Linked DNA regions of Lytechinus pictus. Each later gene encodes a partner of the first gene's protein in a complex. Links are inferred from orthologs where the notes say so. Each region holds a gene or a part of one and is shown in the gene's direction. Other genes may lie near its edges. The genes, in order: dynein regulatory complex protein 10-like, dynein regulatory complex protein 8-like, F-box and leucine-rich repeat protein 13-like and dynein regulatory complex protein 9-like.

Region 1 (7,593 bases):
ATATACACTTACAATCGGCTGGAGCTGTAGTGCATCAACAGCTGGCTCTTCAACCAACGCAAGAAGTAGCACCAACATGGCTGCTGCTAAGTCCATGATGTAAAAGTAAAAGTTATGGACCATGACATAGGCTGGGAGTGCATCTTGGTTCCTTGGATGGGTGTCAAATCGGTCATTATTCTCCCCCTCCTGAAGATAAATGGCTGCCTCTCTGTAGTTGAGCTCCCAGTCTTGGGAGGTTCCAATGGCAGGCACAGAGAGTGAAGAGGTCTGTCTGGAGACAAAACCTGGGCTGGTAGCAACAGAGTCATTGTTCAGATAGTCTGGAAATATAACGGGAAATAGTGCACATGTCCATTTGAAATTACAATAATTGATTCTTGAACATTCAGAAATAAAATACTTACAGTGGATAGTGATAGTGAAAATAAATCTTTGTTTTTCAGTTATTCTTGAAATATCTTTATTACAATTTCAATAGATTATCATTATATCATCTCCCCTTTCTTAATGTGTTCCTTTCTTCTTATTTTTCTTGTGTATCCCTGTTTTCACATCATCCTATCTATTTCCATCATTCTACTTAATAGCTCTTACTTCTTTTTCATTTTTTACCCATCCTTTCTTGTATTTTCCCATCATTTTCTCAATTTTCTGATGTATTTATTTTGCTTTTCATCTATTTCTTTTGTAGAAATCGTTGTATTGCCCTCAATATTACAATTTCTGAATGTGCACATTATTGATGCAACCAGCCCTTGCACTGAGCCCTTTATTGTGAGGGTAAAGTACGTTTTTCATGGCACATGGAAACAGTCATGGAATTCAATTATTTTTTAAGTGTGCCTTGGCAATTTCAGAAGGGCACCACAGCATTGAGAGGTACACTTTACATACTGTACTCAATATAAGAAAAAAAAGTAATTTAAACAGAAGCAATAAAGGAATATTCATATTATAACAGTAGGAAATTAATTAGTGGTCTGTATTATGAGAGATCCCCTCTTATGTTTGTATGAGTTTTTTTCTTTGTCTTTCATTTTCATATTTTCCCGATAATCTCCATAAGCCCTTGTTCAATTTCTTTTGTCAAGGCCCTGTTAAACTTATTTTGGATCAGCAAGAATCAAGCAGAATCAGCTAGAATAAAAAAAATATAAACAAGTGGAACGCCTCTGGCAGTCTCGCCTGCATTACGTAATTCGAAATAGCAGCAGTGCTTCCTTTGAAAAAAAGATATTATGTCCATTGACCAAAAATGACCTTTGACCATGATCATGTGTCCTAAGGATTGTGCAAAACTATCATTCATACTTGATTACCCTTATGTCGATGTTTCATGAGCAAGTACCATAAACTCGTAAGTTATGATGCCATTTCAACACATACTCCCAACACGGCCAGAGTTCATTGACCTTTATGACCTTGGACCTTGGCCATGTTCCTGAAACACACACAGGGTATTCAGGGATACACTGCTGCTCTTATGTCCAGGTTTCATGAACTAAATCCATAGACAATTCCACAAATACCCCCAACATTACCAAAGTTTGTTGACCCTAAATGATTTCATGAGGCACACCCCCATCAAAAAATAATTTGAGTGCCCCCCCCCCCCCCCCCCGGGACCCACTCCTTGCCCTTTCTTGTAAAGCGCATGACCCATGCGCAATTCGCGTTCGCCATTTTGGATTCGGCGATGAATTAATACAAATTTGGTACTGCGAACTGGCTTCAAATCACCGCTGTGTAGATGAATGCAATAGAATCCCTGGCTTCGTGGAGAGTAAGCATACGTTAGTAAATGATTTTTACTCTCTAGAAGCCTCCTGGCTAACCAGACCGATCTCGTGTAGATCCCTCAATCCATTTGTAAAAAATGCAAATACAATAGGCTTGACCCTTGAACCACTTCATTATGACGTACCTTCGACAAGCGATGTTACAAAATGCCGTTTGAAGAACAATTTATAGATAAAAATTATTATTTAACAAATAATGAAATTTGAAACTTATTTATAAATAATTATTATGATTATCTATACTCACGTATTAAATTTTATTATTTGTTAAATAATCATTTTTATCTATAAATTGTTCTTCAAAATGGCATTTTGTAGCCTCAAGGCTAGTGCGCAGCCACTCACATGTATTGCGAGGTTAGTATACTAATACTAATGCACCTATCAATTGTAAGATGCACCCCCGACCCCCGGGAATGGTGTGTCATGGTAGGGTCATTTACCAACAAATTAGTGAAGCAGGGTACTGTCATAGAAACATTTGGTCCGTCACAGTTTGAGGATTGGGGTGCGTTAATGTCAGTCATGTTACCTGGGTGCGTCATGATGCCTCAGTGATACAAAAATTATTAAATTAATATATATTTTATATATCTTTCATTATGAACTCCCGTTCTCCCAGAAGAAATATAATTGACAAATTATTCCGACAACGTCGGAAAGGAAAATAAAACAGAATTGAAGTTGGTAACATCTCAGATTAGTTGGCGATCTATCGGGACATGTTTTTTAATTATTTTGAGGTGCTAACGAGTTAAAATATATTTCATATATATACCTTTCATTACGACCACTTTCTCTCCATTAAGAAATATTAAAGACGCATTTTCTCTTCAATGTTGGAAATGTAAATAAAACAAAACAGAAGTTGGAAACATCTTAGATTAGTTGGCAATCTATCAGGACATGTTTTAAAATTGTTTTGAATGGCTAACGAGTTAAATTATATTTTATATATCTTTCGTTATGAACTCCCGTTCTCCCAGAAGAAATATAATTGACGAATTATTCCAACAACCTCGGAAAGGAAAATAAAACAGAATTGAAGTTGGTAACATTTTAGATTAGTTGGCGCTCTAAGGACATGTTTTAAAATTGTTTTGAGGAATTAAAGAGTTAAAACATATTTCATATACCTTTCTTTATGACCGCTTTTTCTCTGTTAAGAAAAATATTAGACGCATTTTCTCGAAAATGTTGGAAACTTAAATAAAACAAAATAGAAGTTGGAAATATCTTAGATTAGTTGGCAATTGATCAGGACTTGTTTTAAAATTGTTTTGAACGGCTAACAAGTTAAGACATTTTATATAAGTTTCGTTATGAACTCCCGTTCTCCCAGAAGAAATATAATTGACGAATTATTCCAACAACCTCGGAGAGGAAAATAAAACAGAATTGAAGTTGGTAACATCTCAGATTAGTTGGCGATCTATCAGGAAATGTTTTTAAATTGTTTTGAACGTGTAACGAGTTACACTGTCAAAAACGAAGTGCTAATTTAGCACTTACAGTGCTTGTATAGTGACTGCACTATGAGCATGAGTGCTGATTTTCTCGTTCAAATTTAAACTAGAAAATCAGCACTCGTAGTGCAGTCACTATACAAGCACTTTAAGTGCTAAATTAGCACTTCGTTTTTGACAGTGTAAGATTTATTTTATATATCTTTCGTTATGAACTCCCGTTCTCCCAGAAGAAATATAATTGACGAATTATTCCAACAACGTCGGAAAGGAAAATAAAACAGAATAGAAGTCACAAACATCTCAGATTAATGAACGAATGATTGGGATATGTTTTAAAATTGCTTTGAGGTGCTAACGAGTTAAAATCTATATTATGAACTTTTTCGCATGAACCCTGGCCTTGATTTCCGAGAAGAAATGTAAATGGCGCATATTCCCGACATCGTCGGAAAGGAAAGCGTTCCCTTTGAGTTCGCCTCGGCCTCTGCTATCACCACGAGGTTGTATTGAAGAGAAAACATTGTCAGAGACTATAGCGAAATACATGTATCGCGTTCCATTGCATTTAGCTCGATTGTGCCCACGCAGCACTTGCACGCACGAGACATCACACTTCAGAGTCTAGTCTGAATCTGACTTTTTACTCTGACGAAGGTGCGTCAGGGAGACGGTCATGGTTGGTCAAAATCTTGAACTGGTGCGTCACTTTTTTCTTTCTTGGCAGGGTCATTGTAAGTAAAGGTGCGTCATTGTTAAGACACACATGTGCGTCACGCACCACACCACGTACCATAAAATCTGACTCACGTTTGACAAGTGACGCACCCTTCCCGGGGGTCGGGGGGTGCGTCATACAATTGATAGGTGCATAAATACTGGTGCGCAGCGGCAATTTTCCAGAGAGTAGGCAGTACAAAAAAGACTAAAAAACTTCTCTCACTCAGCTCAACTCAGTCTCTGCTAGCTGCTTACCGGTTTTACAATACACTGGACTAGAGTCTAAACTCTATTCTTCATGTTTCACTGGCTATTCCATATCCAAAATGAAAAAAAAAACGTTTTAAAATTTCTCCAGACAAATTGTTTTGCTGTCTAACTCTAACAAACACAGGGGCCGATTGCACGAAAGGGTCTTTCCAAGGACCGTCTTTCGTGTCGCCCATCTTTTATGATACGCCATGTGAAACGCATTTCAAATAAATTATCTGCAAATATATTTTATTTTTCCGTTAAAATAAACAAAATATTTGTTTATAAAATGATGTGATATTTCATGAAATTGTATAAAATTTGATTTAAAAGCAAGCTTACGAATTTTATTTGTTTATCATAAATTTCAGAAACACCCCGCTTATAGCGCATCATAAAAGATGGGCGACACGAAAGACGGTCCTTGGAAAGACCCTTTCGTGCAATCGGCCCCTGGGTAATTCGTAACGGCTAACGCGCGCAGGGCCGAGTCGCAGCTACAGACAGACAGTGTCAGTGACAAGGGGATTGTCAATGCAGTGCAGTGCATTAACACAAGCAGACGCCGAAGAGTTGAATTTGAGTCAATTAAAACGCAATTAAACCTATATCACGACTGTCACATTGACTTCAAATACTACATGTATCTACAGGAAGTATTTCTCACCACTCCTAACTGTTCTAAAGCTCTGACTTGGCTGTTGTTCAGCCAATAAAGGACTCTCAAGTTCTACTGAGACACGATTTAGGTCGTCCTCCAATTCCGCCATGTTTACATCCGTCAGCTGTTATTCTCGCTTTTCGAGGTGAGATTTGGCGAGATTTCGCTACACCAGTTGACCCCTTTCGACCTTTTCTCGGAAGTCACCAAGCAACGAAACCGTATTACACAAATACGAGCAAGCGGATGGATAATATTTCATGTTAAAAACTTACCATTTTGTTAAGCTTTACTATTTTTCATTACCATTTGTAATGTAAAGTCATCGAATTTTCGCAGATTTGAAAATACTCAAAATCGGAACAGATTTACACGGCAATTATGTGAGGCTTCATTTTCCCTTCGCGGAGGAATATTTACAAACAAGATTTGTGGTGCGGTTACTCTATTTACGTGTGTTGTCTATGAGATCGAGAGTGCTGGAGGTTCAGGAGGAAAGAACAAGTGTTTGTGGAAACAAATGTGGAATTCTGCATAAACTTTTGAGAGTTCAAATTAATTACCTTACCTAAAATTCAATCTGTGTAGTTTTTATCCGAGAGGTGGAAATACGTAACGAGCTGCAAGATGTCTTTCGCCGACATGGCTGTGATGGAGACGTTTCGTCTGCTCGACAAGGTTCGAGCTGAGGGTCCAAAAGAACGTCCAGAAAGACCTAACATAGATTTTCCACAGGTCAAACCACACAAACCGAATAAGCCAAAGGAATCAAAGAACCAAAGAACCGATCCTCTACGTATCCTAGACCCTGGAAGGAAGAAACTTACAACAGTTGAATCACAAAGAATTTTGGCAGTATTGGACGAGAGCATCAAGAATGCTGAGGTTGTAAGCTTGCTACCTTACGCTTGTGAAAATGTCAATCGTTTCAGCGTTGTTCTTGGTATCGAGACAGTTGTTACTATACAGGAGCATGAAAAGATCCAGAGTGCATTTAAAGATGCTGCAAAAAAACTTAGCGATTACAAAAATATGGACAAAGTCGAGTCTCGAAAATCTACCCCAGCAGCACGCGCAGCTGAGTCTGAGATACAACCCACCAATGATGATGAAGATAATTATGATGAAGTTCAGATGATTGAGAGCAGGAGGCAAACTCCATCCGATAGATTAGACAAAGTTGACTCAATTTCACTTATTGATGAGGAAGAAGTGCAGCTTTCAAAAATGGTGAATGTTCAAGCGCAGCAGTTGAAGTTTTCATGTAGAAATATCCTGCGGTTGCTGAGCTTGAACCCAGCAGCAGTCAATGCCCTGAGGTCTGAGATCAAAGAGCGAGGCCCAGAGTCTAGTTCTATGATTGGATACATGAAGGATCTGAGATCATTTATTCTGGAAAGACTGCTTACCACGCCCTTGGAAGAGAAAGAGAAAACAGATTATCTCAGGGAGATCACAATCAGGGAGCATAAGAATTCTGATGTCATCAAGAAACTTTCTGCTGAGCTACAGGAGGCAATTGAAGATAAAGACATGAAGGTATAAAGGGGAGATTCGAAACTTCTTTTCTTCTTTCTCTAATTGACATTCCCTCTACCTACTTGTATCCTATTCTTTCTCTTTCTAGCCCCCTTCCCTCTTCCATTATTTGCTATTGAGTAGATCTAGCCTACTAGTATTGAATTATGCCTGTCTGAAGGGCTTTTAAAACTTTGTTTTTTGGGGGAGGGTCTTTTTGGATTCTCCAATGGAGGAGGTGTAATAAAAGCAAGATCCCGGTACAGTGCATGTAGTCTAGTGGAACAGCAGACGAAACCATGACTGAAGCTTTTGGTCTGCTACTAGACTGCTAATTATTCCTTTTCTTTTTCACTTTGTTTATATATTATCATCACTTTTTTCTTTAAAAATAATTGCAGAAACTGTCTTAAATTGGTCAAATTATTTTGAGATTTGGATACCTTTCACACAACATTAGATATTTTTTTGACTGCTGACTTGAAACATGATCAATGCTTTCAAAAAAAGTAATTGCCTTGTCCTTGTCTATTGTTTTTTTTTTGTGTGTGTGTGTGGCATGCAGAGCTAAACACTGGCAGTATATTGCCCATACAAAACAAATCATAATTTTCAATTTTATTGTCAAAAAAGGAAAATCACTAGATTAAATATTCTTTATTGTTCTACTTTTTTTTTTTTTTTTTTTTTTACGTTCTACAGATCTCCAAACAAAATGATGAAATTCGTCGACTAAAGGGCGACCTCCACCAGTTAGAGAAATTCTCTGAGGAGCACATCAGGAGAACTAAATCAGAAGCTGACAAACAGCAACAGGCAGACTTCAAGAACTCTGAAGTCAAACAGACCAAGTTACACTCTGATCTTCAGGGTCTACGTACCCAGCTGACCAATCAGACATCAGAGCACAGAGAGAGCGAGTTAGCTTTGAGAAAAGTGAGGACGATTTTCATCTATTTGTAGATTTTGGGATATAAAGCAGTGGGAAAAATCAGTTAATTCAAAATACATGTAGCCCATCTGATATTTTCCTTTTTTTTCTATTTATTTCATCCAAGAATAAAATGTATTTTGTTGAAGACATTTGGTACTCAAAAATTTCTCTTTCTTAAAAAAATTCTACATGTTATATTAGTCTTTTTCAAACAGAATATGTATTATACCATTAAATAAA
Region 2 (7,890 bases), on another chromosome or scaffold:
CGAGCGCGAAGCGCAAGCTGAAATTTTTTACATTCAGATCAGAAAAAGGGACATTTTAAGGACTGATTTTAGAAAATTCATGAAGAACAGACATATCTCACCAATCCACGAATGCGAACGTAAGTACGGACAGGAAATGGTTTATATTAAGACCTTAAAATCGGGCAATCACTTTAAGTAGTCATGAAAAAAAAAGTATATGTCACTACATAAAACAATAATAATTCGAAGTCTAAGAAAATATATTTGGTGTATATTGACTTGAAAACGGGAGGTTTTAGTACAAGAAGATTATATATATTGTTAAACAGGCAATGCGAGCACCAGGAAAAATGAAGACTAGGCCCTGTGCAAATTATGTTTCATAAAGTTATAATTTATTTATGTAATATAACATAAGATAATCATAATATAATATACCATTATAATTAACAATAATTTCTTCTTTCCCACTACGTTTCTTTCCCTTTCTCCCTCTTTTTCTCCTTTTCCCCGTTTTTTTTTTTTTGGCCAGCCGATTGGGGGGGGGGGGGCACGTGCTCCCCATGCCCCCCCGTAGTTACGCCACTGGGAATAGATGAAATAAAAGTAGACTAAGTGGATTAGACCATTTGCCTTTAGACCAGTTGGCTATCGTGGAGCGTTGTGGCCTATAAAAGTGGATTAGTCTTCGGACTTTGAAACAGAGGGTCGTGGGTTCGAATCCCAGCCATGGCGTAATTTCCTTCGGCAAGAAATTCATCCACATTGTGCTGCACTCGACCCAGGTGAGGTGAATGGGTACCCGGCAGGATTTATTCCTTGAACGCTTTATCGCCTATTAATATGGCGGCTTAGTTATCATAATATTATACCAAGTATCAAAGCGCAGTTGAGTATATGCACATAGTAACTGCGCTATATAAATGGACATATTAGTATTATTATTATTATTATTGGACTAAATGGTAATAGACGTAATAAAAATGGACAAAGTGGCTATTGGGCCAATTGGCAAAAATGCAATAGACCAAATGGCTATTAGACCAATCGATAATAGACGAAATGGTTATTAGACCAACTGGCTATTGGACTAAATGGTAAATGGACGAAATGGTAATGGATAGTGGACCAACTGATGGTAGACGAAATGACATTAGACCATTTGGCAGTATATGGCAATAAACCGCCACTGCTGGATGGTAGCGGGGATCGGACGGGGAGGGATGCTGCATGCATATACCATACACAGTAAAAAAAAATAGCACGTTGTTTAAGCCTGTCACTCTAACAACAGGTTGTATAAACTTTTCTGTAATTTACTCTTTAAACAACTTGTTTAAAAAGTTTCAACAGCTGTTTAAAAAGTTTAAACGGTAGTTGTTAGAGTGACAGGCTTAAACAACTTGCTTAAAATTTTAAACAGCGTTTTTACAGTGTATACAGCACCTCCCAGACCGGGTTGACAAATAGGCAAAACAAATATTAATAATAATAATAAATGGTTATTACTCCCCAAAATAATGAGGGAGATTTGTAAACAATAACCCCCCCCTTTTTTGTTGGGGGGGGTGGCTTGTCGGAATTCTTTCTGACGACAAAACTCCAGCAATTGTACCCCAGTGACTGGTCGCCATTAATTTCCAACAAACAACAACCCAGTATTAAAAAATCTTTCACAGGGCCCTGAACGGCGTACACACCTGTTCTGATTTGTTCATTTTTTGTTTTTTTTTTCATATGATTTGGGGTAAAGTTTTTTTTTCGATTAAGGAAAAAGTGAAACGAACATTGATTTGGTAGTTGACAGTCATAATTTAGGTGCCAACCGAGATACAAATTAAACCAATTATCATAATACACAACAGCTGTGTATAATAGCTGCATGTATACACTTGATTGGGGGTTTGTGCATGTCTTGCAGGGACGGATCCAGCCTTTGCCAATAGGGAGGGGGGCGGACATTTTCTCAGCCATATTTTCCCCGATCGGCCGCTCGAAGATGATTTTTTGTTTATTTGAAGTGGTAGTCCTAATAGTCACTTCTTAGCTTTATTCTTATAAATCAACATAAAAAAAATAATATCATAATCCTTATTTATACAGTGCGTATAAAAAAAAGTTTACACTTAGAAAAAATCCTGTAAAATTATACATTTGTAATATCCTGAAGATTTTTCCACATTTTAACATTGGTACAGATCCATTTAAGCAAATTACGAACTGTCGAAAAATATTTCCGCTTGAGTGAGCACCACTTACTTTTGAAAAGTTAGTGAAAAATGATTTGCGCAGAACTTTAAAATTAGTTATGCGAATAAAAGTAGACCTTAATCATGAATAACACATTAAATTTAGCTAGTAAAATTGATTTGAAGATATCTTTTACCTTTTTTAACTTGTTTCCTTGCCCAAAACACTTTGAAGAGTGCATTGCGCCCCAACCTAATCCCCCACACACCCTTAAGGCCATCGTGACGATATTTGCTTTACACTGAGCTGTGATTTACTTGAAATGGCGTAGGCTTGAATTTCATTTTGTTAATCATTGTAAAGCTTGCAAAAAGTGTGGAGAAACAAGTATTAAATGAAAAATGAAATGTAAACCCACTTTAAATGATAAAAACTTAGTGAAAAAATGCTGGAGATGTCTGATATAAACTTTTGTTCAGATTCAGTTATTTCCTCAGATCCAGCTGGCACAAAAAGGGTAAAGGTTGTGCTTACTAAGTGTTGAAATTTCAATTTGGGTGGCAAAATTGTTACAAAATGCTTAAATGTATCCCTTTTATTTCAATTACTAAAAGTGCAAGGGAAATGTATGAGAAATATTTCGCAGGTTAAGTTTGATTTCGCCCTTTCCCCTTGACACAGCGTGAAAATGAGCATGTCTGCGCAAACAGATTTCTGCGAGCTTTACACAAATGGACAGTGTTCACTCAAGTGTAACATTCTGTCAAAATGTTTACTTTCATTGGATAGATGAGACCCAAACCCAAGAATATTTGTGAAAAAAATACCCACATGTTGTATATTTTTTTAATTCCCAGGGCTTTTTCAAAGTGTAAACTTTTTTTTGATACGCACTGCAATGCGAGCGCGAGCTAATTTTTATTTCATTTTATGTATTTTGTGACAAAATTTGAACATTCTGGGCAATAGTGAATAAAGAAGCTTTAATCGGAGGTAATAATAATTTGTAAACAAATTTTCGGCATTTTAGCTCCCATGTGTTCAAGATCGCATGCTCGATCTGTAATGAAAATCATAAGTCAGAAAAAATTGGAACCAGTGCATGGGATTCGAACCTGTCATCTACTGCTTGCCGGGCAGCGACTCAACCACCAGGCTATTCTGGTTCACGGCTAAGTAACGATGAACTGGAATTAAAATACCCTCTATCCTCTTCTTCTGACTCATTAATATTTTTTAATTATTTATTTTCTGACTCATTAATATGCAAATGCATTTACTATCTATTGTCCCCGGCGGACGGCATTTGCATATTAATGAGTCAGAAAAAAGAGGACAGAGGGTATTTGTATTCCAGTTCATTAACAATCAAAATAATGCGAGCGCGAAGCGTGAGCTATACCTAAAGAACGGAAATTCTAAGCACTTTTTGTAATTTAAACAGTGAAGATTATTGATGCAAGCGCGAAGCGCGAACGGAAAATTTCGAGATTAGACCTAAAAACGAGACACTCTATTCATGTTTTGTAAATCATGAAAAGGATGAGTATATAATTGGGGATCTTACCTTAAAGGGATGGTCCGGGCTGAAAGTATTTATACCTTAATTAATAAAATATAAGTCACTGAGCAAAATGCCGAAAATTTCATCAAAATCGGATAAAAAAAAACAAAGTTATTAAATTTTAAAGTTAAGCAATATTTTGTGAAAACAATCGTCATGAATATTCATTATGTGGGCTGATGATGTCAAATCCCCACTTGTTCTTTTGTATTTTATTATATGAAATTAGGTTTATTCAATTTTTTTTCCTCCAAGAACTAGAAAAATTGGATTGACAACTGATTTAGTGCATTAGATATTTATTGCTACAACTTATTTCATTATAAGGGAGATATATTATTCACACAAGTATGAAATAATGAAAAAATATTATTTTATGTATATAACATAAGAAAACGGAAAGTGGAGATGTGACATCATCAGCCCAGCTAATGAATATTCATGACGACTGTTTTCACAAAATTGCTAAACTTTAAAATTCAATAACTTAATTATTTGTTATCCGACTTTGATGAAATTTTCGGCATTTTGCTCAGAGAATTCTACTCTCTGTATTAAGATATAAATATTTTCAGCCCGGACCATCCCTTTAAGAAAATTGATCATTATTCTGTTATATTTTCATTCCAAATTATTCCGATCTATGGCTGTTGGACCATACGAAGTGAATTCTACTCATAGAGATATATACTACATCTCTATGATTCTACTCTATGTATTAACATATAAATATTTTCAGCACGGACCATCCCTTTAATAATTTGAGCGCAAAGCGCGAGCATAAAATGTTTATATATGTTTTGAACTGATATTGAAAAGGTAAAGAATGGAAAATTTTAATCGATTTTTTTAATGGTGAACAAGATAGCTATGTAACTGAACATTGATGCGAGCCCCCCCCCCACCCCCTGGATCCGCCTATGTTATAAACATTTTATCTTTCCTTATATTTTTTCTTCTTTACTTTTATATTTTTTACTTACATAGCAAAGCAGAAAGGGAGGTACGCAACTACGCACTGAGAAAACAAATTTCAAAAACAAAAACAAAACAGGACAAAAAAAACCCCAAAACAACACTTTTATTTGCTAGTCTTGTGTGAAAACTCACTGGTTGATCAAAGATTTAATCAGAGTCTGTGCATGCAGACTAGTTTGCCGGTACGGTAGCAACACATGCATATGATGTATATGTAAACAATCTCTCGATCGGCTAGCTCAAAATGGCACAGGCAGAAGAAAAAGAAAGTGCTGGTAAATATCGTTTACTTTTAGCTTGGTCATCTATATTTCTAACATAATGAACTTTGAAAATTATTTTGGGAATTGGTAGAAAGAAAAATGTCGTTACCCACGTATATCTGTAATGAAGTAAATTTAAAAACTTGCAATTGATTTCTCGTCGTGTTTGGAAACTGGCATGGCTCAGCTCAGGAGCGAGCCGCTCTCACGTACCGTACCGCCAACTAGCCCGTACCCCTATACCCAGCCGCGGCTGGCTGTCCGCTAGGCTTCTTACCACTTTACTGCGGCAGCTGGCAGCCCATGGCTAGCCACCGCACCAAGCAAGGCCAAGGGTAGACCAAAAGCTTCGGTCTCTGTTATGTTGGTTGTTCCGCTGAACTCCGTTGGCTCCACTCACCAATTACAGAGACCGAAGTTCTAACTCGATCTGTACAGGGACTCAATCAATGGCCATATTTGGCATAGGCTATATCATATGTTTATGTATTAAATTCGGATATACCAGGTCCAGGAAAGTGAAGTTGCGCGACAGCCGAAGTAAGTCACTGTTTTGTGTCCTTTTAAATTTATTTTCCCCGTTTTGGTGCATTTAAGGCCAAACAGAATAATAATCTTTATTTTGGTCCAGTTCTTTTCATATTTTATGAAATAAAGACAAAAATCGATGAGCACCATCGGGGGGGATTTTGCATTTTTAACCCCCTAATGGCAGCTGCACGATCGCGAGCCGTCTGTGTATGAGGAGAAATTTTAAAAAATGTTTTAAACTCCTCGAAGCAGACAGCTGCCAGCTGTCTATACTGTATACAAATGTATGACTTATATGACGGGTATATGATAGCCTGGAATTTCATTCCATATCATTATATACTTAGATCTTTAAAAAAAGTTTTATATGAAAGAACCAAATTCCGATCCATATGTTTATTTGATCGGACACCTATAAATAAAAATAAATTTTCCTTAAAAATAGCAAAATCCACAAAAATATTTTTTTCCCATATCACTGTTATCAGTTTGTGCACGGTAACTTGGGGTATAGTGCCCCAAAATAGAGCAATGAGAGAAAAATGTGATGACTGGTGCTCCTAAAGTTTAATATTTGAAGAAGTTGATCAAATAGGATTTCAAATTGTTGATTTGTTGAATGAATCAAGATGGGGATACCCCTATATACTGTCATTTATTGGGATTGAGCAAACTTGTACATTTAAATAAAGTTACAGGTAGATTTTCGCTAAGTAATATTTTTAATAACTTTAACACAGAATCACTGCTTGCGGATATTCAGAAGAAAATTACAGATGCATTTGATATCTTCGACCATGAGTCTAATAAGACTGTTGATGTTAGGTGAGTAAATGATTAAATATTGATTGAATCGAATATGATAATTGGGTAATGTTTGTAGCTTGTGGGTGGTATAGTTTCCTGTTTTAGTTTCATATATTTTCTCTTTATGTTGGGCAATCTTTTTGGACTAAATTCTTTCACTAAAGTAAAAAAACCTTTTTTCAAAGTACCATATTTCTCATTGATACATGTATGCTCAGGTGGACCTTGATTTGATGTTTCCTGAAAATTTTGTTTGGCTTTTGGGAATCTTTTTTAAGGTAGGGTAGTTAGTTGTACAAACCAATAAGCTTGGAAAGAGTGGTCTGAATTGGAAGCCTTACAGTCCTGACTGGACTTACGTATCAAAGGCCCGAATTCAGAACTTAGAACTTCTTTGCTTGGCTTTATAATGGCAACCAGTCAGAAATGATTTCTAATAGCTTCTTTTATATTCTTTTAGATTTTTCCCCCTTATTTTTTTTTCCAAGATGTATTTGCAGTGCTAGACTTGTCCCAAGACCCTCTTTTTTATTCAAGATTTATTCAGGGTCTATGCCTGCAGACAGGAGTAATGATACCTTCCTCTTATTTTTACTATTATTGAGTTAGGTTGAACAGTAATAGACAGAAGTATTGGCTGAAAGCGTAGGATATATAATAAAGTTGTGCAACCATAAGTGAAAACAGTTTTTTATTAGAAACTAAGATGTAGAACAGGATACTCATCCTACAATTAATCATGTATGCTAATAATGATATTAATTTTAATTGAGAAACCATATAAATTCACATTCAACTTTCCAAGTTGCTGTAGTTGTCATATTTACACTTGCGATTATCTTAATTACTGCATGTGATGTTGTTAATGTGATTGTTTTTTTTTTTCTTCATGTGTTACAGGGAGATTGGGACCATTATCAGGTCATTAGGTTGCTGTCCTAGTGAAGGTGAACTCCATGATCTTTTGTCTGAGATGGAAGAGGAGGAGCCCACAGGATACATCAAGTATGATCGTTACAAGCCAATCATGCGAGAAGTTCTCATGGAACGCAAGTAAGTTAAATGAGAGTGGAAGTATAGATGAGATGGATGACAATCTGGGTTGCAGGTGCATCAGTGCTCTTTATATCCTAACTTTACTCATCATTAAATCAGAATGTAAATTGTTAACTGACTGACATTCTCCTCCTCTTTCTTACTTATTGTCACTATCTAAACAATTGTATTAATGTCATCATCAAGATCATCAGGTCAGGTGTATCTTGCTATAATCTGAATACATTTATCATTTTTACCCCTAACTGCTATATCTTTTGATGGAAATTTTTGTATGACAATGTTTTCTAGCAAAAAGAATCAATGTAAAAGATAAACGTTATAAATTGTTTTGATGATGCTCCTTCTATAGTGTTTAAAAAGTTCAAGTATTAGAGAGAAAGATAACAGATGGGAATGACAGGGGATGTCATCATGTGTTGGGCAGTGTTTCATTTTCATATTTCGTCTTATTTTTATTTTTTGAAAATGTTTCTTTGAAGATTCAAGCCATCCCCTGAGGATCAGCTTGTCAAGGCA
Region 3 (7,678 bases), on another chromosome or scaffold:
GGTTGAAGCCCCTGTGAGCTTACTTTCAACCCTAGGTACACCACTTCACCTTCCACAAAGGCACATTTGCTCCTTTTTAGCTTCACATTATGATCATTCAAACGCTTCAATACTTGCGCGAGCACATCAAGATTTTCATCCACTGTGGTTGTAGCTATCAATACATCATCTTGATTACACAAGCAATGGGGGATACCTTGAAGAATCTTATCCATTGTCGCTTGGAAGATCTTCGGTGAGGACTTAATTCCATATGGTAGTTTTGTGTAGGAATACAATCCCATATGCGTGTTGATAGTAAGATACTGCTGACTTTGCTGATCCAAGTTGAGTTGTGCATACGCGTGAGAAAGATCCAACTTCGAGAAAACTTTGGTACCTCCCAACTCTGCATACAAATCCTGCGATGTGGGAAGAGGATAACACTCATCATCAACTGCTCGATTGACTGTGGTCTTATAATCTCCGCAAAGACGAACACCTCCATCGGCTTTCGGCACCACTACGATCGGAGTTGCCCAGTCGCTGTAGTCTGTCTTTACGATGACTTTGTTTTTCTCAAGGTTTCTTAACTCTTTCTCAACTTCTTCTTTCAGTGCGTACGGTACTGGTCGCGGTCTACAGTAGACTGGAGTTGAATTCTCCTTGATTCTTACATGCGCTTCCACACCAGAAATCCCTTCATAGCTGTCTTCAAACATTCCGCTATACTGTCGGAGTAGACTCTGCAATTTTGAAGACTCAACATGGAACACGTTATTCCAATCTAACTTCAACTTAGTCAGCCAGTTCTTACCCATCAGTGTAGGACGATTCGTGTAGCTTGTTACCATCATGGGCAACAACAATTTATTCCCTTCATAGGTGACTTCACATTCAAATTCACCACACAAGTCCAACTGCTGACCAGAATATGTTCTGAGTTCTAATGAATTTGGTCTCAAAGGTACATCACTGAAGTTTCTCTCATATGTGTCCTTACTCATAATAGAACAATCTGCCTGGGTGTCAATCCTCATAGTCAAGGATTTCTTGTTGATTACAACTTCTGTTTCAAACTTATTGATCGAATCTGTAGCATACACACAATACAAATTCGAATTATGTTGCATAGATTTCTCTAGATCATCAGTTTCATCCAACGCATGAACTTCAGCATTACCGCCAGTTCGACGCGATTTACCTTTACTCGGTACACTAGTCTTTCCTCTATTTGACTTACAAGCTTTAGCTATATGTCCCTTCATCTCGCACTTGAAACATTGTGAACCTTTAATTGGACATTCTTGAGGTGGATGATTTCTGGAATTACAGCGATAACAGTTTCCATGCTTTTTACTTTCAGCATTAGAGGGTTTGGGTTTACCTCCACGACTAGTTGGTTTAGCTTTACGGGTGTAACTTTTCTGACTATTCACACTTCCAGCATTATGAACAGAACGAAGTTCACGAGCATTTATTGATGCCATCTCCATCGACAACGCAATTTGGCAGGCTTTATCAAAATCTAAATCTTGAGTATTCAACAGTTTGTTCTGAATTTGTTCATCAGCCAACCCGCAAACAAATCTGTCTCGCAAAGCTCTATTCAAGAAAGATCCATAATTACAATGTAAGGATAAATTCTTTAAGGCAATGATGAACTCACCAACTGTTTCACCTTGTTTCTGATTTCTTGTTCCAAACTTGTAACTTTCAGCTATCTCTAACGGCTTAGGATCGAAATGATTCTTCAACTTATCGATGATGTCGTCAAATGTTGCATCTTTCGGCTTGCTAGGCGCTAACAAATTTGCGAGGGTTACGTAGATTTCTGTTCCAATTTCAGTTAGTAAAATTGCCTTTTTCCGTTCCTTCACGAATTCAGCATTCTGGGAAGTTTCAACGATGTTATTGGCCATGAAAAACAGTTCCATACGTTCGACATATGAAGTAAAAGGTTCGCGAGCCTTCTCAAAGCTCCCTAGCCGTCCGATATAGCCACTGGGCGTCGCCATGTTGTATCACGCATTGACTGAATACACGTGCGAATACCATGTGCGAATACACGAAGACTTCCTTCCTAGTTCCATCAACTGTACGACGGTAACTTTAAAGTTGAATTAAGAAGACGATTCCAAATATTGAGATATTTACATTAATAGCAACCTTACAACCCCCCAAACACTAATAGGTGATTCGACCCCCCATTTTCTTTTTTCAAAATAGTGAATTTGAACGATTTATCCCTACCCATTTTCCCTGAGTTCGCTCCTGCAATGCCTACCGAGACGGGTGTTCTTTGAGTGTGACGTCACCGGGGGGTAAAGCAGTGCCGTTTTGTGTACTATGCACGTACTCCTTCATATGGAATAACTGCAGTTGAAGTTGTATCTGCGAGCCATAGAACTTGCAAAGAGGAAATGATTAAAATATTTGTGGCCGTACTATTATTCCAAATATGTGAATTCCCTCAGAATGATACCATAGACCCTAAAGGAATAATTTCAAGGTGAATAATATGAAATTTGATCGAGATCTTCTCACCAGTCGATAACGTAGCAGACGTGTTATTATGACATATTTATCCGCGTGTGACGCGGCTCTTGAAAAAAAAAACACAGTTGGTTGCGGAATTGCTTTGTGCCGACCGGCCGCCCGCTCCGGCGCAGCTAGCTGTCGAGCGACCGCACCGTTCTTGTTGTCTTCAACCATAGAGATGTATACTAATTACTATATATATCTTTCTGTCTTCAACTCACTTGCGAATTGCGTTTGTATGTGTGACGGTGACCCCTAGCGTAATTAAATATAGAAAACAACCCAGAAGGCCGAGAAAGAATACTATACGTTTGGTTCAAGATTGTTCTGTGGAATGAGCTATGAGTGGAAATGATCCAGAGGATATAAAAGTGGAGTCAATTAAAGACAAAAGAAAAGAAGAAAAAACGCCAGGGGATCGCTGCACGGCCATGAACTAAGTCGACATACCAGACCATAACAGTACACTCAATGCCTAGCTGGGTGTTGTGTGTACTAGTATTATGCGTTCAGCGCGCGCTGAGCTCGCCGCCGGAATTACTTTCCAGCTACTCACTTGATTGAACATCGTGATAAAATAAATGAGAAATAATGAAAATATCATTCAATAACTCACTGTTTGCTATCTTACATCATGATTGAAGAGTTCATGGTGGTTATTCATACTGTTTTTTATACAGGGAAAGTAAAGATTTGTACATATCAGTCATATTTGTTTGATTTGAGTTGCTTTGAAAAAAATTTGTAAAATATCTTTCTCTCTCTGCATAGCATTTCTGTATGACATTCAGGCACCTCTTATACTAAATTCCCCCCGGTGACGTCACACTCCGAGTGACTTTTCTGTACACTCGTCTCTCGGGCTCTGACAGGTGGCTAATTTCATAGACTTTCAAAGCAAAATATCGAGAAGGCAGAGGATTTTTGTGACATGCTATCTGTTTGAACAACTTATATATACTATATATTGTATGTAGAACCTATATTTATGGAAACTCACCCCCTTCTTAATTCAACTTTAACCAGAAAATGTCACTTTATGACCTCAAAATTAGGATCAAACTTTCGTCTCACAGATTAGCAGTCCCTTGACCAGCAAAATGAAGACTTTAAGGCTTTCGTAGACTCTTTTCTGAGCATCCTCGTTGCCAATTTGTAACATACTCAGAAGAACAGCTTCCTATATGTTTTTTTTAACTACAAATATTGATGTAAATGAAGTCAACAAAGAGATCCTAAGTTACTACAAGTACTGTACAAAAGGGAAATGCCAGAGTATAAGTAGTATTCAAAGTTTGGTGCCTTTGTTAAAGTTAAGGTGCCAGGTGCCCTATTACCGTGCGGAAACGACTACGGGTATATAATCAAGCATAGGATTCTTACTAAGTACCTGTACCCCAACAAACTATATATTTTTGGAAAGCTTATGAGCTGATCTACACAAAAATTTGCACTGTGGCATATTAGCTTTATGCATAAGCAAAATATGGTCATTCAAAGTCATGACTTTAAAAATCATGATTTTTCTCTATATGAACTTTCTATGGTTATAACTTCACAACATAGAGTGTAATTTAAGTTTTGATGGATTAATTTAATTCTCTGACTTCTTTGTGATGAATTTATGATGGCTTTAAGAAATATTCAGAGTAGAATTGTAAAAATTATGGATTAAACAAGCAGTCAGATAATGAGAAATTCAGAAAGGACTTTTATACACAACTCCACCTGTGGGGGTACCATGCACAAAAACTATCATTATTTTGTTGTACTCTTCAAGATACACAATTCTACAAAATTTCATGCAAATCCAATGATTAGAACTCGAGTTATTACATTTTTCATTAAAAAAACCTCAATTTTGTATAATATCACGATAAAGAAAGGGCTATAATACTAATAATAACGGACATTTGTAACGCGCCAAGTCTGTCACATAGTGTATGTAACTTGTAGTCGCTGCCATATTGTGCAATACAGTAGCTCTCCCTATTTGGCCAACAGAGGGTGGTAGTCCACTTTGCTACATGGAATATCTGGGGCTTCAGCCAAAAAAAATCTGGGGATTTTCTGATTTTTTTTAAGGCAGTATCAAAGGTTTTGGGGACAGATTTAATCACTTCCGGTGTGTAAAATACTACTTCCGGTTTGAGAATTTTATGAAAATATGTTTTAACCCCCCTCTTATTAAAAAAAGAGGTAGAATATTGAGATAAAACAAGTTGCATGATGAAGTACACACATGAAACTAGCAAAGGAGACCAAAAAAATAAAATCATTAAAAAAAAAAAAAATTAGGGCACCTGTCACCTTAAATTTATTTTGTAAGTTCATTACTTTCCCTCTTTTAATTTTTTCCTCACAGGTTGACCTGTCAAAGACAAAGAACATGTAAGTGTGTTTGTTTGTTTGTTTCTTTGTTTTTTGTTTATTGTTTGTTTATCACAGCTTCAAAGCCTTTACACAATTCTGGTGAGCAAGGGTATAATAATAATAATAATAATGATAATCTTCCAAAGGTAAACTAAGTGATAGAATAGAGTCCAACAGCTAAAATTAACTCTCAATTGTTCTGTAAGTAGATTAAATGCTCAAACTTAAAAACTGATTTTCTCAAAAAGTTTTTTACGGGGGCGAATTTGCAGATGGACTCTTTTGCCAGGCTGGAGCCGAGCTATAGAAGCTCAATGGTGTGTAAACATATATTATTTGCCAAATGTTGGGATTCTGTTTTCCTGTCTTCTTTAAAGATTTTGTTTCTATTTAAATTCAATGTTCTCCCTTGGCAGTGTGACTGACAATGTAGTGACAAGTCTCCTTCAGCATTACAGGCCCTATGTTGTTCATCTCAACATCAAAGGATGCAAAATGCTCACCAAACCAAGCTTCAAAGCCATTGGTAAGCATTTACTATCGTACAACGCCTACTTAGCTTGTTGTACGCGAGCAAATGGGAGGCTGAATGTCAAACATTCTTACAGTTGCACACATGACGTACCATCCAAAATGTACCGTTGCACGGCTTTAGGAGTTGACGTCACAATACGATTTAATTCATTGCGCTCAGTAAAAATTAAGGTGCAATACACGTATAGCCTGCTGGCTAAATGCGCAATGCTGCCCAAGGTCACGTGCGCTTGTGGGATTTTGCTTTTCGCTTTTTAATAATTTTGCTCCCTTTTCATTCTGAGGCTTTAAACAACACAAATAGCGAATATTCGTATTCGTGCAATGGTGCGAGATTTCGCATTCGGTGAAAGAAAGAGACGCTCTATTCAACTCAGGCTAATGCCTCGTTGAATAGAGGATCTTTCTTTCACCTCATGTGAAATTTCGCACCATTGCACTCATGCCTATTCGCTATTTGTATATTAATAGCTGGATTCTTACCACTAACAGCATGGTTACCCTGGGTAGCCACTACAATTCTGAAAACTGTTCTCCCAGCGGGCCCTGCTATTATTATTGCCCCGGCCTTAGCTGGGCTGTCTAGGCACTCAAGCATTTGAGGAAGCTCTTCCTAATGGGTACCCATTCACCTCATTTGGGTTGAGTGCAGCACATTGTGGGTAAATTTCTTGCTGAAGGAAACATGACATGGCTTGTAATCGAACCCACATCCCTCAGATTGAAACATAAAGAGTCAAAACCACTAGAGGATACAAAGCGCAACTTAAAAAATAATCAAATAACAAAAATCTTTGTATGAGTTGTATAATTTATAACTAATTGTATAATAACTCACTATCATTCTGTAACTATTCAACAAAAATATTTGTTTTTGTTGTACACTGTATAATTTGTATGATGTTTCTTTTTCTGTTTACACTACTATACTACAATTTTATTTATTAATAAAAAATGTATATGTTTGTGTCCTGAGAAGCTTGAAGACTCTGGAATACATTTTGCAATGCCCTTCCCCATTTCCTATTGATATCAAGTATGTATTCTCTTTTTGCAGGTCAATGTCGTAACTTGCAGGATTTAAACTTATCAGAATGTCCAGGACTGAATGATGATACTATGAAGTATGTAGCCGAAGGTTGTTCTGTCTTACTTTATCTCAATGTCTCCTTCACCAACATCACAGATGCTACACTGAGATTATTAGCCAGGTAAATGTGTTCTTTATTTGTCATAGGTAAATAGGTAAATACATCTACATGTATATGTGTATAATTCATGCCTTGATTTATTTCTGTCTTGATATTTGCAAGACTACTCGCTTTAATGCAATGTTTGCCCCCTTTTGAGCATTCAAGGAATTCCTTCCTCCCAGGTACTGATTTTCTACACCTGGGTGGAGAGTTGAAAATGTAAATAAAAAGCCTTAACCAAAGGACATGAATGCTTCTAAATTATACATTTTAAAAGGCAAAGGCAGCCATATCTCGTATTGCATAATATTATTTAAAAAATATGTGTAAGCAATCATAATCCTTTGAAACACACAAGACTATGAATGTCAAAACGTGGTTGGGCCCCAAAAGTAGATTTGGTTGCAGGACTAAAATTGTTTCATTCATCAAAAGATTTTAAAGCATTCAGTCAACTGCATTATTTATCTAACTCTGAAAAATGCGTAGTATGTATCAGGTTTGACAATTATATGTGGAACGTTGTGGCACAGTGGATTATTCTCCGGACTTTGAAACAGAGGGTAGAGTGTTCAGTTCCCAGCCATGGCGTAATTACCTTCAGCAAGAAATTGATCCACAATGTGCTGCACTCAACCCAGGTGAGGTAAATGGGCACCTGGCAGGAGTTTTTTCCTTTGGATGCAGTGCACATAACAGCTGCTCTGCTAAAGCCTGGGTTATGCTGCATTTTAACTGTAGAGTGCTTAGAGGCTTCTGATAAAGTAAGTGTTAAGCACGATATTTAATAGCAATTATAATTACTATAATTACGTTTTTACAATGACTTGTTTATATAGGTGCTGCAGCAACCTACAGTACTTGAGCCTTGCATATTGCAAACGTTACAGTGACAAAGGGCTTCAATATCTTGGGACTGGCAAAGGAGGAAGGAGATTAGTCTATCTTGATATGTCAGGGTGTCCTCAGGTATGTTATATATTTTGGGTCTTGGGTCTAAAACCTATTAGAGCTGGGTTATTTTGACCCACATTACAGCCGGGAGGGGGGGGAACAGC
Region 4 (7,560 bases), on another chromosome or scaffold:
CTTGCCCCCTTTTTAAACAAATCTCCTAGCTACTTACCACCCTAATCCTCTTGCCGATAGCCTGGCCGGGAAGGTTGCTCTTGAACTTGGCCCTGCAGCCGCCACTCTTACCGTGTGTCTTGATGATCTTACCCCAGATCACACGGGTGTTGGTTGGCTTGTCCTTGCCGGGACACTTCGTCTTGCTGCGAAGAAATCAAAGGGAGAGTGTAGTCACAAATTGAGTCTTACAGAATTTACAAACAGTTAATTGACTCGCACATTGTGATTTGTCATGGAATGTGATAAAAAAAAAAGGCGAACAAGAAAAATTCAACCAAGCTTAGGATCGTCTTACTTTTTAAAAAGGGTTTTCAATAGTTTCTCTAAAACCTGGACTCTACCAGGTCTCACAGGGGAATAATTTTCCTGGTATCGCATCGCAATTCGCTCCACATTTTTTAAAGACTGCCATGCATAAAGTCTTTTGTATAGCATATTTTTACAAGGACTGTACATTACTTAGTTGAGAGCTTTTCTCTTATGACCAAAAATGCTACTCGAATTTGTAAAGCAAAATTATTCCATCTCATGGTTTTTATACACAAACGAACACCCTGTATCATGCTCATACAGTTCAGAGTAACTTCTGGTTCAACAGTCTATACCAATATCCCTTCCTTACTTCTCCCAGACATACTGGCACAGATTACATTAAAACATGCTCCAGGCTTGGTCTGCTAATGATTGACTTTCGATATTAACTGCTTGATTCATTTTACATTGCACATACTTTGAAAGATTGAGCATTAAATCATGAGACTTTGCATGGAATATTCTTGTATAAAACCTAAAGTCAAGCAAGTTTTGTAATACGCCTACTTTCCCCCATTCAACTACTGCACTGAGAAAAGCAATTTTCACTGGGTAATATTTCCCCAATTCATGGCTGACAAAAATCATTTCTATTTTTTCAAATATATCTTATAATCCTGCAACTGCTCTCTGTCACAAGAAAATTCTGCTCCTGACAATGACACCAGCTCTGTAGCACTTGCATCTTGAGTACTGAGATGCCAACCTTGTCAAATGAATTGCAATAGTTTGAGGGTAGAAAAACATTATTTTTAATTTTCAGTACGAGGACATTGTGAATAATACAATTCAACTTTGTGGAAAAGGTATTTCCATGGAACTTGCAATTTTTCATTAAAAAAAAAATCCCCAGATGGCATCTCTGGAAGTATCCTATTGAACTTACTTCTTGCACTTGTAGACGTAGGCACACTTCTTGCCAAGATACCAGGTGGCTTCCCTTCTGGATTCTACTCCCTCTAGCTTGAGAAGAGCTTGGTTTTCATGCTGGTTGCGGAGTCCTCTCCTGTAACCCGTGAAAACTGCCCTGCTGTATAACCTGTGTTGCACATAGACCAAGTCACACAAGACTTAACAATCAATTATGCTCCAAGTTAAATTCAAGGTAGCTGCGATTGGTTAGCAACAATTGTGCACAGTACAAGTAAAGTCACACAGAGAGAAAATTTAAATACCAAAATGTGATGTACAAATGTCTGCCTTGGGACCATAGGTATCTTCTGAAATACGCAGTAGAATACAGCTTTAACTTGGGCAATTGATTTTAATCATTTGACTTGTTGAAAGTTGCCTTATGCGAGCTTTAGTATGATTACCGTACTCTGCGCATCTCAATTATTACGACTAGCCCAATCTACCCTCTTATCACTGTTGCCTGTTGAAAATACTTGCATTTTAACTAACCCCATTTAGATAGAGTACACAATATTCCATAAGAGAGCATGTCTAAGGGCTCACTAAAATAAAACAAAATGATAGGGAAACAGGTTCTTGCTGCCTTCACAATTTGAAAGGAACTCATCAGAAATTTGGAAACTGACACTGACCTTTTGGATGCTACCATCTTGCCAACTCCAGCCAATAACTCTGTATGTAAAAGGAACAAAAATACACATTTAATTGAGCCATTATTTCATATCTGTCGCATGTGTGCCTCAGTATTCTGAAGAGTAAGATTCAAACTTGTGCCGATACAATGGTGCAATGTACATGCAGAGCTCTAATTGAGAGTGCTCAAAACTAGATTCAGTGACCTCAATTCCCCTTGGTTCACCGTCTGCCATCTTCCAATGAAACTGGATATGTTTACATTGACTAGCGCACTTAATTGGCGTCAGCACTTGACAGGTGAATGAACACAAATAAATTTCTTGTGTGGAGAAATCTTTGAAAACCCAGACAGTCCCTGAAAACTGGGACGATCCCAATTTTCTGACCAGCACCTCTAGTTCGGTCTGAGAATTTAAACGATGACGTTTATTAAGCGGTGGGCAAATTGTGGGGAAATTTGCTTAAAGGTCAAGTCCACCCCAGAAAAATGTTGATTTGAATAAATAGAAAAAAATCAAACCAGCATAACAGTGAAATTTCATGAAAATCAGATGTAAAATAAAAAAGTTATGGCATTTTAAAGTTTCGCTTATTTTTCACAAAACATTGATATGCACAACTCGGTGACATGTAAATGAGACAGTCGATGATGTCCCTCATTATTTCTTTTGTTTTTTATTGTTTGAATAATATGTTGTTTCATTTTTTACAGATTTTAAAAACAAGGACCGACTTGACTGAACCATATAGTATTGAACAATGCTTAATCCACATGTTCAGGGGGAATAAATCGTTGTTTCACTTGAAAATCAGGAGAAAATTAGAACATTTCATATTTCATGCAATAAAATACAAAAGAAATAGTGAGTGGATGACGTCATCAGTCTCCTCATTTGCATACCGATCAGGATGTGCATATAACTGTTATATGAAATAAAGCAAAACTTAAAAATGTCATAACTTTCTTATTTTACATCTGATTTTCAGGGGTGTGAGTGGTCACAAATAAAAAGATCTGAAAAAAGCTGAAGAGTGTTGAAAAAGTCTGAAATAGAAAGAGCTCCCATACTTTTTGTACAGAGGAAGGCCAAATAAGCTGAAAATCAAAACAAAGAAATCTGAGATGTTTGTGACTTCTATTTTCTTTTCCGCCGTTGTCAGAATATTGCGCGAGTTATATTTCTTCTCGGAGAACGGGAGTCCACAACGAAAGGTATATCACATACATTTCAACTCATCAACACCTCAAAACAATGTTAAAACATGTCCTGATAGATCGTACATTAATCTGAGATGTTTGTGACTAGTATTTTGTTTTATTTGTTTTTAATGGGTGATTTACATTTCTTCTTGGAGAACGGGAGTCCACAACGAGAGGTATATCAAATATATTTTAATTTTTCCAGACAAAAAGACCCCAAATTTTTTAGATTAACAACTTAACATTTCAATATTTTTGCCAATATCAATTTTAGGTATTGGTGTGCGCCGCCGATTAAAACATTAGGCCTACATTGAATTGGCAATGAAACTTGACTTTGGATCATTTAAAGCGCATGTGAAAATCAAAACATCACGTGCAAAATTGGCCACCACCGAATCGGCACGTTTCCGACACGCGTAAGAATAATCCTTGCAAGAACGCTGGCATGGCTGGGAGCACATTTGGGCCTATATTTATAAACGATGACCATATCTGACTGAGAATTTGAACAATGACATCGCATCGAGTTCGAAGACAAAAACTAAAGTAAAGGCAAATTACACAATAACAGGCTAGGCTAGCTTACACTTAGTTACAGCCTTTCCGGATTTCAATATTGAAAAGCAGTGGGCATATTTTATTATTTATTATTGTCTTTGTCATAACTTATTGACCTTGAAATGTGACTGTGACTGAGTGAGACAGACAGAGACGAAAGAAAGTCAGAGAGACTTGCCAGGCCCATGCACCGTTGGCCGTCACTGCAGTGGCTACTGCACTGTTGCGGCACTTTTTGCTTACAATTTCTGAATTCTGCATTTATTTTCTGGTGCGTGGTGAGGAAATTTTATCGACAAAGTCGGCTGGTGAGAAACAATACTATTAGAGCCAAAATGCCATGCCTCCTGACACCCCCCCCCCCCCCCCGTCGAATTTGCCAACTTGGATGTTCGACTTGGGATTCTTGGAAACGCAATGAATGAACGTCATCACACTTCACAGAATCCCGTATGACGTCGACCATGGTCCATGTACTAACGCATACAGGAGTTGATGGGACATGGGGGTATTCTCCACACAATCGGTCAAAATCTACTTCTCAATGCGCAATCATAAATGGTAGAACATATGACATTTAAGTAAAATAAAAAAGCTAACTAGTAAAGTTCATTCTTTGAACGTATAATAATATATTAGGGGGTATGAAGGTGTGAATTTTCATGTAAAAATGTGCATTACCACTCGTATGAGAAACAGAGGAGAAAAAGGCCAAATCTATAGTAAAATTATCTGAATTCAGATATTATTGATATAAATGATTTTGATATGAAAATAACTAAAATATTTATTTAAATTTTATGTTATATTAATAAAAGTAATTTACTAACAAGATTGATATTCATATGGACTCTTGTTATTTTTTTACATACTAATACTGATCGAGCCTTCGTTTGGAAGAGCTTGGAAACAACGTAAACAAGCAGGTAGAAAGGCCTACTTCCTGGGAAATCTCCCCAATTTCATGGTGTTGGCGTAAGGGATAACAGGTAGGTTTTCTCTAATAACTTAGAATATGTTCTTTCCTATGACTTCTGCGAGAATGTGTCTTTGAATAATGGACTTAAATAAAGATCTACTGAGTTTAGCCGAAAGACAAGTCGACAGTTTTGCCCGTGCGCCTCGGACCGTTGACGTTGTCGTGCTGGAGCTCCGCGGGCCGGGCTGGGCCCGCTTGCGCGGCTGTGCATGTCATGTGGAGCTAGCTGAGCCTGAGTAGCTCAGCCTCGGGCCAGGGCTCAGGGATCAGGCGCTGCGCTGGCGCGCCCAATTTTGCTCTTTGACGGGGTATTAAAAGGGAAGAAATAATAAAGATAAATTTACAGGCCTTATCGTCATCCAAGTCACTGGGGACAAACTTGAGAAACATCTCAAATATCAGCAATCTTTCAAATAAATAAATGGAATCCACGGTTGGAAGATTTTCAATTTCAAAAGAAATCTATTCGCGATGCGAAACGGTGCGAAGCTTCTCACTGAACAGGGACTTCCACCACACGTTTTCCCATTGACACAATAACAACTGACCCTGACACTTTCAAACGACAAAAATAGTCTTTCTTTTCTCTCCTAGACCTAGTCCTATGCTATGGCTGTATATATTCTTCCAAGTTGAAACAATGATAAAAAACACTAAATAAAACAAAATTAATCACACTAAAAACACTATTTAACTGTCTAATTACTCCTCGTGATCCGAGTCCCCTTCCCATGTTGAGACTACAAAATTCTCATAGGAGGGGACTCGGATAATGAGTGATAGCATATTACTCGTTATCCGAGTCCCCTCCTATGGGAAATTGGCAGTCTCAACACGGGAAGGGGACTCGGATCACGAGGAGTAATAAGACAGTTAAATAGCGTTTTTAATGTGATTTTCATTGATTTTAATGATTCTTATCGAAAATATTCATTTATACCTTTATACCGCATCTACTGGAAAAATAGAGTTGTTCCTGCAGTCAAGTGACTTGTTGTCTTCCTAGCTTGGATAAGTTCGAAAACTGAGTCTGTGCTATTTGTGCAATGTGCTGTGCCAATGTATTGAAATGAAAAAGGCACTATTCCCATGCGTGAACATAATGCCACTCAGACCAGAACTCATCATCTTATCATCTCTAGGAAACTGTCGAAGAGTGGTTTTGAAGAGGAGGGAAATGAGGGGTAGATGAATATCAACAGGTTAATTGCCGTTTTTTTTATTTTTAGGAGACGGTACTTGGATCACGAGTAATAGTACTCCTCGTTATCCAAGTCCCCTCCTGTATGAGAAATTGGACAGTCTTAACACGGGAAGGGGACTCGGATCACGAGGAGTAATTAGACAGTTAAATAGAGTTTTTAATGTGATTTTCATTAATTTTAATGATTCTTATAAAAAATATTCATTTATCATCTCTAGGAAACTGTCTAAAAGTGGCAGAGTGGTTTTGAAGAGGAGGGAAATGAGGGGTAGATGAATATCAACGGGTTAATTGCCGTTTTGTATTTTAAGGAGAGGGGACTTGGATGATGAGTAAAAGTACTCCTCGTTATCCAAGTCCCCTCCTATGAGAAATTGGACAGTACTTCAACACGGGGAGGGAACTCGGATCACGAGGAGTAATTAGACAGTTAAATAGAGTTTTTGATGTGATTTTCATTAATTTTAATGATTCTTATCAAAAATATTCATTTATCATCTCTAGGAAACTGTCTAAAAGTGGCAGAGTGGTTTTGAAGAGGAGGGAAATGAGGGGTAGATGAATATCAACGGGTTAATTGCCGTTTTGTATTTTTAGGAGAGGGGACTTGGATGACGAGTAAAAGTACTCCTCGTTATCCAAGTCCCCTCCTATGAGAAATTGGACAGTACTCTATTAAACACCGGGAGGGAACTCGGAGCACGAGGAATAAAGCAATGGAGACTGTTAAGAGGGAGATGCAATTTGATTTATATTTTTTAGTAAAAACGTGATAGACGAAATAAAGCATAATCATAAGAAACATATATATGAAAAGAGATTTATTTAGCATAAAAAGTACAACAAAATAAAGCTATAAGGACTGAAAAAGAAGTAGATGCAATCCTGATTTATTTAGTAAATTAGGAATCAACGAAATAAAGCAATGGAGACTGAAGAGGGATAGGGCCTATTGATTTATTTAGTAAAAACGTAGACGAAATAAAGCAAATTTTATATTGTGAGAAAAATAATATAATCCTGATTTGTTTATATGAAAAGTGCTAGTTTACGAAATTAAGCAATAGAGATCGAAAAGAAGTAGATGCAATTCTGATTTATTTAGTAAATTAGGAATCGATGAAATAAAGCAAATTTTATATTATGAGAAACATAAAAAGATTAATATAATCCTGATTTATTTATATGAAAAGTGCTAGTTTACGAAATAAAGCAATAGAGATTGAAAAGAAGAAGATGCAATTCTGATTGATTTAGTAAATTAGGAATCGACGAAATAAAGCAAATTTTATATTGTGAGAAACATAAAAAGATGAATATAATCCTGATTTATTTATATGAAAAGTGCTAGTTTACGAAATAAAGCAGATTGAAAAGAAGTAGATGCAGTCCTGATTTATTTAGTAAATTAGGAATCAACGAACTAAAGCAATAGAGACTGAAGAGGGATAGGGCCTATTGATTTATTTAGTAAAAACGTAGACAAAATAAAGCAAATTTTATATTGTGAGAAACATAAAAGATGAATATAATCCTGATTTATTTATATGAAAAGTATAGTTTACGGAATAAAGCAATAGAGATTGAAAATAAGTAGATGCAATTCTGATTTATTTAGTAAATTAGGAATCGTCAAAATAAAGCAATGGATACTGAAGAGGGATAGGGCCTATTGATTTATTTAGTAAAAAGGTAGACAAAATAAAGCAA

What was found.
Region 2: dynein regulatory complex protein 10-like (region 1) and dynein regulatory complex protein 8-like share a complex: the UniProt entries of both Homo sapiens proteins name them as parts of the nexin-dynein regulatory complex. The link is inferred for Lytechinus pictus from reciprocal best matches to the Homo sapiens genes DRC10 and DRC8.
Region 3: dynein regulatory complex protein 10-like (region 1) and F-box and leucine-rich repeat protein 13-like share a complex: the UniProt entries of both Homo sapiens proteins name them as parts of the nexin-dynein regulatory complex. The link is inferred for Lytechinus pictus from reciprocal best matches to the Homo sapiens genes DRC10 and FBXL13.
Region 4: dynein regulatory complex protein 10-like (region 1) and dynein regulatory complex protein 9-like share a complex: the UniProt entries of both Homo sapiens proteins name them as parts of the nexin-dynein regulatory complex. The link is inferred for Lytechinus pictus from reciprocal best matches to the Homo sapiens genes DRC10 and DRC9.

The regions. Positions count from the first base shown.
Region 1 is NC_087246.1:4,178,337-4,185,929, forward strand, and holds the start of dynein regulatory complex protein 10-like, read left to right. Parts: upstream 1-4,574; 5' UTR 4,575-4,907; coding exon of another isoform or gene 4,908-5,010; 5' UTR 5,011-5,528; coding exon 5,529-6,440; intron 6,441-7,121; coding exon 7,122-7,355; intron 7,356-7,593. Other genes in the region: two pore channel protein 1-like, read right to left, coding at 13-323, 4,908-5,010. UniProt on the Homo sapiens protein: Component of the nexin-dynein regulatory complex (N-DRC), a key regulator of ciliary/flagellar motility which maintains the alignment and integrity of the distal axoneme and regulates microtubule sliding in motile axonemes.
Region 2 is NC_087251.1:23,720,482-23,728,371, forward strand, and holds the start of dynein regulatory complex protein 8-like, read left to right. Parts: upstream 1-4,878; 5' UTR 4,879-4,958; coding exon 4,959-4,989; intron 4,990-6,248; coding exon 6,249-6,333; intron 6,334-7,215; coding exon 7,216-7,368; intron 7,369-7,853; coding exon 7,854-7,890. UniProt on the Homo sapiens protein: Component of the nexin-dynein regulatory complex (N-DRC), a key regulator of ciliary/flagellar motility which maintains the alignment and integrity of the distal axoneme and regulates microtubule sliding in motile axonemes.
Region 3 is NC_087249.1:13,414,531-13,422,208, forward strand, and holds the start of F-box and leucine-rich repeat protein 13-like, read left to right. Parts: upstream 1-4,660; 5' UTR 4,661-4,762; coding exon 4,763-4,911; intron 4,912-5,309; coding exon 5,310-5,419; intron 5,420-6,484; coding exon 6,485-6,638; intron 6,639-7,459; coding exon 7,460-7,589; intron 7,590-7,678. Other genes in the region: uncharacterized protein K02A2.6-like, read right to left, coding at 1-1,997. UniProt on the Homo sapiens protein: Substrate-recognition component of the SCF (SKP1-CUL1-F-box protein)-type E3 ubiquitin ligase complex.
Region 4 is NC_087260.1:6,704,296-6,711,855, reverse strand, and holds the start of dynein regulatory complex protein 9-like, read left to right. Parts: upstream 1-4,540; 5' UTR 4,541-4,656; intron 4,657-7,560. Other genes in the region: large ribosomal subunit protein eL33-like, read right to left, coding at 38-185, 1,241-1,393, 1,902-1,918. UniProt on the Homo sapiens protein: Component of the nexin-dynein regulatory complex (N-DRC), a key regulator of ciliary/flagellar motility which maintains the alignment and integrity of the distal axoneme and regulates microtubule sliding in motile axonemes.